Linked DNA regions of Oryzias latipes. The protein of the gene in region 2 interacts with the protein of the main gene of each other region in a pairwise test. Links are inferred from orthologs where the notes say so. Each region holds a gene or a part of one and is shown on either strand. Other genes may lie near its edges.

Evidence for each region.
Region 1: the proteins of fragile X mental retardation syndrome-related protein 1 (region 2) and baz2b interact in binary tests that used the Homo sapiens proteins (3 or more experiments, as listed by UniProt). The two-hybrid records come from large-scale screens. The link is inferred for Oryzias latipes from reciprocal best matches to the Homo sapiens genes FXR2 and BAZ2B.
Region 3: the proteins of fragile X mental retardation syndrome-related protein 1 (region 2) and bysl interact in binary tests that used the Homo sapiens proteins (3 or more experiments, as listed by UniProt). The two-hybrid records come from large-scale screens. The link is inferred for Oryzias latipes from reciprocal best matches to the Homo sapiens genes FXR2 and BYSL.

Annotation. Positions count from the first base shown.
Region 1 is NC_019861.2:14,699,513-14,703,164, forward strand, and holds part of baz2b (bromodomain adjacent to zinc finger domain protein 2B), read left to right. Parts: intron 1-1,512; coding exon 1,513-1,578; intron 1,579-1,856; coding exon 1,857-1,997; intron 1,998-2,277; coding exon 2,278-2,532; intron 2,533-2,867; coding exon 2,868-3,091; intron 3,092-3,652. UniProt on the Homo sapiens protein: Regulatory subunit of the ATP-dependent BRF-1 and BRF-5 ISWI chromatin remodeling complexes, which form ordered nucleosome arrays on chromatin and facilitate access to DNA during DNA-templated processes such as DNA replication, transcription, and repair.
Region 2 is NC_019876.2:28,852,655-28,856,406, reverse strand, and holds the start of fragile X mental retardation syndrome-related protein 1, read right to left. Parts: upstream 2,317-3,752; 5' UTR 1,666-2,316; coding exon 1,615-1,665; intron 1-1,614. UniProt on the Homo sapiens protein: mRNA-binding protein that acts as a regulator of mRNAs translation and/or stability, and which is required for adult hippocampal neurogenesis. Specifically binds to AU-rich elements (AREs) in the 3'-UTR of target mRNAs.
Region 3 is NC_019863.2:2,276,588-2,280,311, forward strand, and holds the start of bysl (bystin), read right to left. Parts: upstream 2,897-3,724; 5' UTR 2,788-2,896; coding exon 2,523-2,787; intron 1,895-2,522; coding exon 1,738-1,894; intron 1,641-1,737; coding exon 1,502-1,640; intron 1-1,501. Other genes in the region: med20 (mediator of RNA polymerase II transcription subunit 20), read left to right, coding at 3,094-3,107, 3,280-3,425. UniProt on the Homo sapiens protein: Required for processing of 20S pre-rRNA precursor and biogenesis of 40S ribosomal subunits. May be required for trophinin-dependent regulation of cell adhesion during implantation of human embryos.

The DNA.
Region 1 (3,652 bases), on a different chromosome or scaffold from region 2:
AACCAACAAAAGAAAGAAAGAAAGAAAAAAAAAAGAGTCAGTGTGCTGCCTCCATCTGCTTGTCCTGAGGGACAACTGACCCTGTCACGGTGGCCAGGCAGCTTCTGCCCCCCCTCCCCCATCCTCCCCTTCTACTCAGAATGCATTGCAAAGGCTGCTAGCCAATCCACACTCACTTGTCTGAGAAAGCGCTGGAGGAGTTTCCATCCATCACATACATTGTCTAACTGTTGTATTGGAGTAGCCTGTGTTACCCGTGAGTGCTTGACGACTTCAGCCCAGACATCGAGCTTGTGTCTGTTCGTCCGTGCATCTGTCCTGCAGTCCGCAAGAGCGCTGGGCTTTAACCTGCCCCGTCCCGACCTCTCTGTCATTCACTCTTCATGTACTCTACACAAAGAATGAAAACGGCTACTGAGAGTCATTTTGTCTTTATGGTGGAGACCCTTCCAGGGCAGATTACCTTAAGTTTGACTAGTGCTTCATTTGGGATCAGTCGCAGCCCAGACAAAGATGATAGCCGATACCACCATCCGGACAAACATGGTTCTGTGTAGCGTTTCGTTTTGGCCTGGCTCTCCTGCTTGTAGCCCTTCTTACTCTTACACAGTCGTAGCCCAGTGTACACGTCTGCCCATCTTTTCCTCTCTGGATCAAGCCAGTTCCTGCATCGAACACTCATTTTTCCCTCCATGGGTGAAAAGTGTCAAACAACAGGATTTAGCGTCAAACTGAAGTTTTTCTGACTTTTTAAACATCTCTACCTCTTTTTTCTTTTTATTCTGCATGTATAGATGAATCCGTTAGTAAAATCATTGGCTTTTATAGCATACATCCTGCTGTTCTTCTCAATGGAAGAAATAGTCACAATCTGATACGGTGGAGCAGGACACCTAAGGAGATCAAATAAAGACAGTCAACAGTAATTCCTGAGCCTTTTTCTTTTTTAGTAGATGGTGTCTCATGCACCAGAGAGCAACATAGATGTCTCAATCTCTGTGTTAATGCTTAAACGTCCAAAACCACTGAAGAGGAACTGCTCAGTTCCTGGCTGCCTTTTTGCCGTCCTCTCACCCAGCATTATTCCAGCCATATATCAAATGAACATTAACTCTGAATATTTCTTCACTTGATTATAAAGTCAGTGTGGCATGTCAGGCAGCTCGCAGGACCCAGCAATTTTGTTTGCTTTTGTTGTGTCAGCTTTAGTTTGGAGGCGCCGTCACAGATTTTCAGCTGCTTCTGTTTTTTGAGCCTGTCATCACATCTACTTTGTATCGCATCTATGTGTTGCTTTTTGGTTGTCATCGTTCGACTGTACTCTTATGCTTCCCCCATACATGTGACAGTGTACACATGTCGAAGCATCACTTTGTGCTGGTGCCTCTACTGAATGTAGTGCATCACAGTTTTTTTTATTTCTCCTGCATTAATACACGATCAACTTAGACGACCTTAAATGCCGCTCGGGCGGCGTCTGTTTATTAATGTGTCTATTTTTTGCCACTCTAGGAGAGGGAAAGGAGGAGGCAACATGTAATGCTAATGAAGGCTGTTGAGGCTCGCAAGAAAGCAGAGGTAGTCCTTATGTACACACAGACACACACCCCATTTCATAAAAGGGCCAAAGACTTTGCTTCCTCAGTGGATTCCTTCTTTTTTCAGGCAGTTTTCAATCTTTTTACACTCTTACCAAGTAAAAAGACTCTGGCCCTCAAGAACTTTTCCTTTGAAAGCAAGGCGGTTTTTAGACAGGAATTCTAGCCATGTTCAGCAATTTAAAGTAGTTGTAGCACACAAAATTCCCCTCGCATGCCTGGCTTTCCTAATGCGCCCTTGAATGTCGGACTCTTCAGGAGCGCGAACGCTTGCGGCAGGAGAAAAGAGACGAGAAGCGATTGAACAAAGAGCGTAAACAGGAGCAGCGCCGACTGGAACTGGAGATAGCGAGGGAACTGAAGAAGCCAAATGAAGACATGTGTCTGTCTGACCATAAGGTAACTAATAATAACAATAAAGCAGCAGTTGTTTGAACCTTTTCTTAAGAGTTTGTGTCACATTGCAGAGAACATTTTAATGATGAAAATGTGCACCACCAGGTGGTTGGAGAAGAGCAGTGCATCATGTTTTTTTAAGAACACTTCATCCAGTAAATGGCAAATCTGTTTTTAATCATAGGACCCAGATAAGGATGATTCTTTTTTTTTTCTTCTATAGAGTAACACATGCATCAGGACTATATAGTTTCGTTTTACTCACTGACTTTCCTGTTTCCAGGCTCTCCCGGAGTTTTCTCGGATTCCTGGTCTCATCCTCCCAGGACGTGCCGTGTCCGACTGCCTGATGCTCATGCACTTCCTGCGAGGTTTTGGGAAAGTTTTGGGCCTGGACATGAATGTGGACGTGCCCACCCTGGGGATGCTGCAGGAGGGTTTACTCAACGTGGGGGACAGCATGGGCCAAGTCCAAGACCTTGTAGTCAAGCTGCTTTCTCTAGCTGTCTGTGATCCTGGCCTGCCACCTGGGCAAAAGGTGAGCTTTGACCCAGAGGCCATGAAGACGAATGGACTAAGTACTTGCAGGAAAATTCCCTATCATGTCTTCAAATGAGAGAATACTTTAGAACAGTGATTAATTTGGAAGAAAGTACTTATTGTTCCTCTCCTTAAGTAAAATACGTCAATGATGATGAGCATTCTAATAAGTCTATGCTTATGCGTTTGTTATTTTTCTTCATGTTTTTTCCCTGAAAATATATTCACAAATCATAAAAAGGTGATGAATTGTCAGTGAACAAGCTAAAATTTTGTCTTGAATTGATCAAACGAATGCACTAACACATGCATGTGATGTCATGTCTTTACCAGACCAAAACCATGCTGGGAGACCACCTGACCAATGTTGGCATCAACAGGGATAATGTCTCTGAGGTGCTACAGATGTACATGGGAGCCCACTGTGGCAACACAGACCTGGCTCCTTTGGCCCTCAGTCTGAAGACCAAAGCCTTCCAGGCTCATACGCCGGCTCAGAAGGCCTCCATCCTGGGCTTCCTGGCCAATGAGCTGGCCTGTAGCAAAGCTGTTATCAGGTAGGTCAAGAGGCAGCGACTTCATCAGTGTCCACTTTTAAAATGACATCTGCAATTATGAAGCATAATAACCAATCCTAATAGATACAATAAACGTTGTTCTGAAAAGGATCACATAACAGTATTTATTCACTGGGATCGCACACAGAAAACTATCTTTGAACAAATTTTAAATGAACAATTAGACTTTCTCCATTACTCTTTAGGAAACAAGAATAGTAAGAAACCACAAACACAATATAGTATATGATAATATAGTATAATACTATGAGGTTTGGTTGTTTATAAAATTCTGCATTTCTGATTTAAACATTTTTTCCAATTTTTCCATTCATTTTCATTCCATTAATTGTTTTACTTTATTAAGATTAAATGGAACAAAAAGAATAAAGCTTCAGCACTGTTTCTGTAAAAATAATGAGAAGAAATCTTTTACCTTGATGAGTGGACACTTTAAAACGTCACTTTCCCAAAAGCCTATAAAAGGCTTTTTAAAAGAAAAAAACAAAAACTATTCAGAGGAAACAAGTCGGAGCCATTTTTGCCCTTCCTCTGGGTTTC
Region 2 (3,752 bases):
GAAAGAAATAACACGGAATCTGGATGAAAACATGCTTGAACTAATAAAAAATGATTTTATTTTAAAACGCAACATATTTGGATGATTTTGTTCTCATTTTAGAGCCAATGGGTTGATGTCCCTCAGGGGGGAAATAAGCCAAATTAGAGAAATGCTGCATTCAGGTGCGGTTGGAATTGTCAGAAACATCTGAAAAACAACAGATCTTCCAACACGAGTGCTGAATTACTTTCTACACCAAAGTAAAGCTCACTTTATCTGCAGAGCACCATTTATGAATTACAGGAAAAATAAAACCTTTGTAAGGATGATCAATTTAACTTTTCCCAGTTTGGCGGGCCGGATCAGATCCTTTAACGTGTGGCCCCCCGGGCCGGAGTTTGCCCACCCCTGTGCTAGAATGTTCCCTTTGGATTCTCTGGATGTGGAAACACAACAGCGCTGAAGTTTAGGAAACTAACATGTGAATGGATTTGACATTCATTCTAGTTTACTTGTTGGTTTGGACACAGATTTCATTTAACTTGATGATCTGGAAGAAATCCAAGAATCTGGAAAACTGTTCAGTAGCAGGAATTTCTGTCTGAGTCTCACTGCTGGAAGTTTGGATCAAGAGGATCTGGATCCACTTCAGGTCAGAGAATCAGAATGAAAAGATATCAAGAATAAACCGGAACCACAAGTGATATTCTTACAGCCCTATTTGTAACACGCGAACAGAGACGTGGGGAAAGTGAATGGTTGCATCTCCGATTAATACCTTTTGTTTGGAGGTCAATGCTTGGATTAATTGCTGTTTAAAATGCGAATAATGAGGCAGTTCTGTGGCGGTCAGAGCCTCACGCTAAAGTGGAAAACCGTCATTCATGCCAACGGCGCACTGACAACCAGTAAGACACACAACAGGTGAAGCTGCACAGGAGTAAATTTAGGACCATCACTGAACCCAGGGGGAGGGGGGTAGATGGAGCACATGGAACCCCCGAGTTACCAAAGTCCAGACCACTGGAGACCCATGTCTGCCTGTGGGACAAACCGGTTCAGATGTGTGGAAGCAGATGAGGAGTCTACTCGTTTCCATTGAAATAAATAGAATAATAACAATAATAACCCCCCCTCAGTGGAAGCACAGAGGGTGGGGGAAGCCTTAGGTTTGGTTTCTCAGTAAGATCAGCCAGAACTGAAACAGAAACCGTCGCCCTTCCTCATGTGAGGCATCAGCAGCCCAAAGCAGGACTGATGATGATGATGATGATGATGGTGGCGGTGAGGTCACTCCGCTTCTTCACGGAGCATCACCTCACCGACCTCACGACAGCTGTCTGGATCATCGAAACCCACCCCGTTCACAGGACCGAGCCTTCCTCCCACCAAACACCCCGAATTCAACCGAACTGTCCCGCCAACGTGACCCAAACGGGCCACGCGTGAAGACGACGAGTAGGAGGACCTAGCTTCACCCCGCTAACCAAAGCTAGCTAACCCGACCCGGTCGAACCGCTCCAAACCCGCAGCTAACTGACTCGGGCTCAGCTGGGCCCCAATTATTCTGGCTCTCCGAAGCCGGTTCTGGCCAAGCCGGACTTTGAGGCGGGCGGTAGAAACCCCGCTTACCTTGTAGAAGGCCCCGTTGGAGCCGCGAACCTCCACGGCCAGCCCGTCCATCCCCGTCGCCGGTGAGTCCGCGCGGCTGTGCTGCTGCTTGTCGTCCGTTGGCGTAACGGCTCCCTGCGGCTGCGAGTCCGGTAACGTTCCCGCCCCCAGCTTCGCCGGCCCCTCGCCGCTATCCGGCCGCTTGTGGACTTCCAGTGTTCCGGGTGGAGGACAAGAAGGGGCAGAGAGAGGTGACGGGTCCGGACCGATGGCAGGGATGATGTCTGAACCGCGGCGACGCAGACTACTACTGCCACTGCCAGCTGAGGGGGGAGAACAGCGCTCTCTTTGGGTCGGTTCTGGAGAATTCGCGACGACAACAAAGGCGCCGGCACCAGCAGAACCGAGCTAACGATGCCCAAGGAGCCGGAGGACGATGACTGATGGGTAATTAGCTTGGAGGCTAGCGTCTGTTTTCGGGAGTGCTAGCATGCTACAGTCAGATAGCCTGGCTGCGTTTGAGGGCTCGTGCGTGTGGCGTAATCTCCGCGCGGAACAGTCTCGCGCGCGTCGTCACCGGGGCGGCCGTGTCTTCGGTCGGTGGCGTGGTTCTCAGCGGCGTCTCTTCTTCACAAAGGCGTTTTTCAAAGCACCACCGCCCGGCAACTCCTCACAGCAGCCACCAATCCCCGCAAACACGCCGATTGACTGAATCGCAAAGGGACTGAATGACCTGAAAGGCCCCGCCCCCTCCCAGTGAAGCCCCGCCCGTCCTGCCCCCTATTAGCCTTCTGATTGGTCAGAACGGTCAACAATCACTTCCAGATCCCATTAATTGGTTTAGCAAATAAGGGCTGGTCCAGCGAAGGGGCCAATGAAATCCAGACAGTTGCCTACCGACGTCATTCATTGGTTGATTGTTCGTGTCAATCAAACATTTACTCATATGGACTGGCTCCCATGTCCAGGTTAGCCCACTCATGAATGAGCGAGGACCCCCACTTATTGTGTAAACACCACCACCACAGGTTACTATATATACTATACACCATGCTGGAGCTGCAAGAAAACGTTCATGCATATAAAACATGCTCCTAATATCCCCCCTAGATGCCCCCCCCCTCCCCCATTCACTACAAATGTAACAGAATGCTGGGGCATTTGAAGCAGCTGAATGAGAAGATATCCAGATTTGGACAAGGAGGCAGCTGTGGGACCAGCAGGGGAAACCGCACAGATAGCGCAAACGCCACGTATCGGCCCCTAATGCAATGTCTGCTACTGATGTCTGTGCTGCTCCTCTGAAGATCTGCGGCTAAAGATTAGGTTTGAATCACTGTCTGCAGTATTTGTGAAGCCGACCTCAGATTCCTTGGAGAAAAACCTTTCATGGAAGTACACGAACTGCACTGAGAAGATCCTGTTTGCGTCTTTTATTTTGAAAGCAGCTTCTGTCAATAGTAAAAATGCAATTTCACACTAGAGAAAATGCTAGTTTTTAAATAAACAATAAATACATACTATCACATTTTCCTAAAGCAGAGGTGAGCAAACTACACCCCAAGGGTTTCACATGCAGCCATGAAACTATTAAATCCGGCTCGCCAGAAAGATTAATGTTTTATTTTCTGGTGAGTCCCAAGATGGTGCACTACAAATACATGTACCTTTGTTTAGGTGCATAAAAGTTATTTTGCATTCAGGTGAAGTTGGAAGATTTGTTGTTTTTCTGACGTTCATGTGTGTTTTCCTTGTAGGACAGTCCGATCGTACTAACAGCACACGAACACAGCTTTTTTTCCCCTCAGTTTGTGTTTTTTCCTGAGGGACATCAACCCATCAGTGAGACTGGCAGTAAATTGAGAAAAATAAATCACAGTTTTGAAATTCCAAAATGTCCTGTTTTAAAATATATACATTTGATGTCAATCAATATTAAAGCAGGTTTTTCCAGTTCATTTTTTCTTTCTTATCAGGTGGATCAGCAAAACGAGCCACAGATCTGTTCCTGGTCTGGCCCTTCTGTCAAATTTGAAAGGGTAAAATAAGACGTTGCCGTTTCCACTAGGAATTGATCAGTAAGAAACAGGCCCAAATGGCTCTTTTGCAGTTAAAGGTAGTAGATTCAAAGATGTTATGTCTCTTTACCAATTTCAATG
Region 3 (3,724 bases), on a different chromosome or scaffold from region 2:
TGCAGTTTGCATATCGACCAGGCATTGGGGTGGATGACGCCATCATCTACCTGCAGCACCTAACCCTCTCACCTGGAGTCCCCTGGGAGCCCTGTGAGAGTCATGTTTTTTTGATTTCTCCAGTGCTTTCAACACCATCCAGCCATCACTGCTGAGGAGGAAGCTGGAGGTTGCAGGTGTGGACCAACATCTGGTTGCTTGGACCATCAACTACCTCACAAACAGACCACAGTTTGTGAGGCTGTGTGTCTGATGTGGTGGTCTGCAGCACGGGGGCACCTCAAGGGACTGTGCTCTCCCCACACCTGTTCACCCTGTACACATCGGACTTCACCTACAACTCCCACCACTGTCACCTGCAGAAGTTCTCAGAGGACAGTGCCATTGTGGGCTGTGTTTGTTAAGCTAAGCTAACATCCATCATGGATAACCCCTCCCACCCCCTGCACCAAACTGTAGAAGCGCTGACCAGCTCCTTCAGCATCAGACTGTTGCACCCTCAGTGTAAGAAGGAGCGCTACCGCAGGTCATTCCTCCCCACAGCCATCAGACTGTACAACACCGTGTTATAGTAGCTGTGTTTACATGGGCAAAAGTAATTGGAAAGAACACCTGAATCGGAAGGAAAATGTGTCATGTAAACACACCGTTCAGAATACTCTGCCCTGATCAGACTCGTTTGGATCAAAATGTCTTTCCGATCGAGATAGGTGGGTTATGCCGATTGTTGATCCAATCGTGTTACATGTAAACAGTTCATTCCGATCGTGTCACTACTGCTCTGGTTTAACGTCACGCATAGACGGTGTATCGCTCCAGAGAAAGCTTTGGAGCGCAAACAGGACCAACCGGCTGCTCTGCGGAGGACCGGTGAGAACCGCCGCTCTGCTCTCGCCCTGCTGGCTCTTCACCTCTCCCCTCTCTTACACCCCTCACGAGGGGGCTGCGAGGGGGAGCGCTTCGTGCCCCGTGACGTCTGGACCCTGCGTGGTCCGGGCTCGGGTGCCGGTGGACGGAGCGAACTGTGTCTCTGAGCAGAGCAGCCGGATTCATAACTTTGTGTTTGAGGGGAGTGTTTGTGTTCATCAAAAAAGGCTAATGTTGTTAGCGCGTGTGTTAGCCTCTCCAGGGTTCTTCCACAAAAAAAAGCACTGACCACACGGATTAAAATTAAAATGATGAGCGAACAGGCGCTTCATAATATTCATAACATTGATAAAAGCACGTTTAGAAGATCGTCTTGTATATTACCGAGCTGCTGCATGAATGTATGTGGCAGCTCGGTTTGTTTACTGTGGGACCCATTTCCTCTTTCGGTATTTTCAACACTACTGCTCATGCTCAAATGATTTATTCCAACCGAAAGTGTGACCCATGTGAACGTTTGTTCTAATCGGAAAAAGGTTTTCTGATCCCATGTACACGGTTGGATTTTAATCCGATCCAGATATTTTGCGCATGTAACCGCGGCTTATGTCTTCAATAATATAAGAAAGCTCACCTTTCCCACACCTCTATAAACCTCTGTAATTCTGGGGTCCAGCTGAGGCATGGGGCGCCCTGACACCTCCGACATCACCGTCCCCACTTCGGTCTGCTTCTCAGTGATTTTCTCCATGATTATGTCTGCCAGGGTCCTCCTACGAGAAAGAGAAACATGTTAGTAGGGACAGAAGAAACTGGCCTGGTGGTTTCTGTTTGTTGTTGTTGGTTAGTCAGAACTGCCATGTTTCTTGCCTCATTGGTGGGTTTTTATTCATGAACATCTCAATGGCCTTTTCGTCTTCTGGGTCTACAATAATTTCAGCATCACATTCGGTTTCTGCCGCCCCAGAAACTGCTTCTCCCAGTGCGGGCCACTCTTCATCCGAGTCTGCATCCCCAGATTCAGGACCTACAGTTACAGGAGTGTTTAGAACTCACATAATGAAAAGATGCAGATCTAGATGTATGGAATCACCCAACTAACTACAGAAACGAGTAAATGAAAACATTATTACTTCTATTTTTAAGTATTTATTTACTGAAAGTATTTTAATTTGGAGTGTTTACTAAAACCATCATTAGTGAACAGTTAACTTTATTTTTAAGTCATAGCATTAGTGCATCCCTTAGCAAAAAGTAGTCTATTTAAGTAAACTACAAGTATACTGTCTATACTAAAAGTAAAGCAGTAAACTAGAATTTTCTTTTTATATACATTTAAAATTTTCCAATAAAAGTCTGAAAAAGTATTCAGTTACTATATGTCCTACACTACACGTACATGGTCTATACTTGTACACTACTACACACTTATTACTCAAGTATCCTTAAGTAAACTTCAAGTGTACTTGTCTTTGTTAAGGGTAGATGGGTCTGAATTGTGATGAATCTGTGATGCAACTTTACTAAAGTTGGTCATCGTTTTCTTCGGTAAGAAAAACTAGAACAAGAGAGAACCTTTAGAAACCTTAATCAACGGCTTCTGTTTGATCATTTTCTAAACTGAAGCGGATGTCCTGGTTCTGATCCAACATTACCAAGAACAGTGACCGGTGTCGCCTTCTTCTTCTCCGGTACCAGCCCATATTCGGTCTGAAGCTCCTCTTGCTGAATTCGGGCTTGCTGTAGGATTTTCCGCGACAGCCGCTCGTCTACGTAGGTGTCGTCGCTTTCTGGCCGCTGGTCTCTGCTCTTAACCCGGTTGCGGGCTCGGACCGTGTCCGTCTGCAGGATCTGGTCAGCCAGCGCCACGGATCCAGAGCTCTTTTCTCCTCCACCTTTAGATTTCTTCACTTTCGGCATCGCTACAGCTCCAAAAAAATTTACAAGCTAAAGCCTGTCTATGCCTTTTTAGTGTGTAAACACCCAGCTGTTTAGCACGTGCGGACAAACGGCATGCGCGACAGAGGCAGCGGAAATACATTACGTCACATCCGGTTTCATTAAAAATGTTTCGAAACATTATATATGAAAGAACCTATGTTTATTAACTGAGTTAATCAGTTTAACTCAATTCGTCTATGTTCACTTGTATTTTTATTTTATTTTTTCCTTTACCGGAAGTCAATTTGTTTAACCGGAAGTAGTTGCGAAGGAGGCAAAACAAAAATGGGAGTAACTTGGTAAGGAATATTTTGGCTCATTAAAGTGTAATTATTATTTCAACATAGTTTGGTTTCGCTATGTTTATAGGACCTGTCTATTTCAAATGTTTGTTCTTTTGGGGAAAGCGTGCTCCTCCCCTTCATGGATGCGTTGGGTTGTCGCTGCTCAGTCGGGTGTTTTGTCTTTCAGTGTTTGTCAGGTGCCCATAGCGGAGGGCAAGAGTGTGCAGCAGACCGTGGACGTCCTGCAAAAAAAGCTGGAGCAGCTCGGTTCTGTGAAACAAGGCAGCTTCTGCGTGGATTGTGAGACATACCACGCCACGGGAAACGTTGTCGGTAAGCTCGCTACTTTTTCAAGCATCACGCGGGAAACATATTAGTAGTTATTTATTCATGTGGTAATTAGTTGTGGTTGCTTAGACCTTTAAAAAGCAATTAAAAAAAGGTGATTGGCATATGAGCTCCGTTTGTGCCCTTGCATTTAATTGGTAGCATTTTTAACAAGAACATTCAGGGCTTTTGCTAATTCTTCCTTCAGACACATCTGCAGTAAATATGGGACACAATTAAGCATACATAGCCACTTTATCTTATGTGTGTTTGTCAAATTATCTTGAGAATATTTTACAAATTAG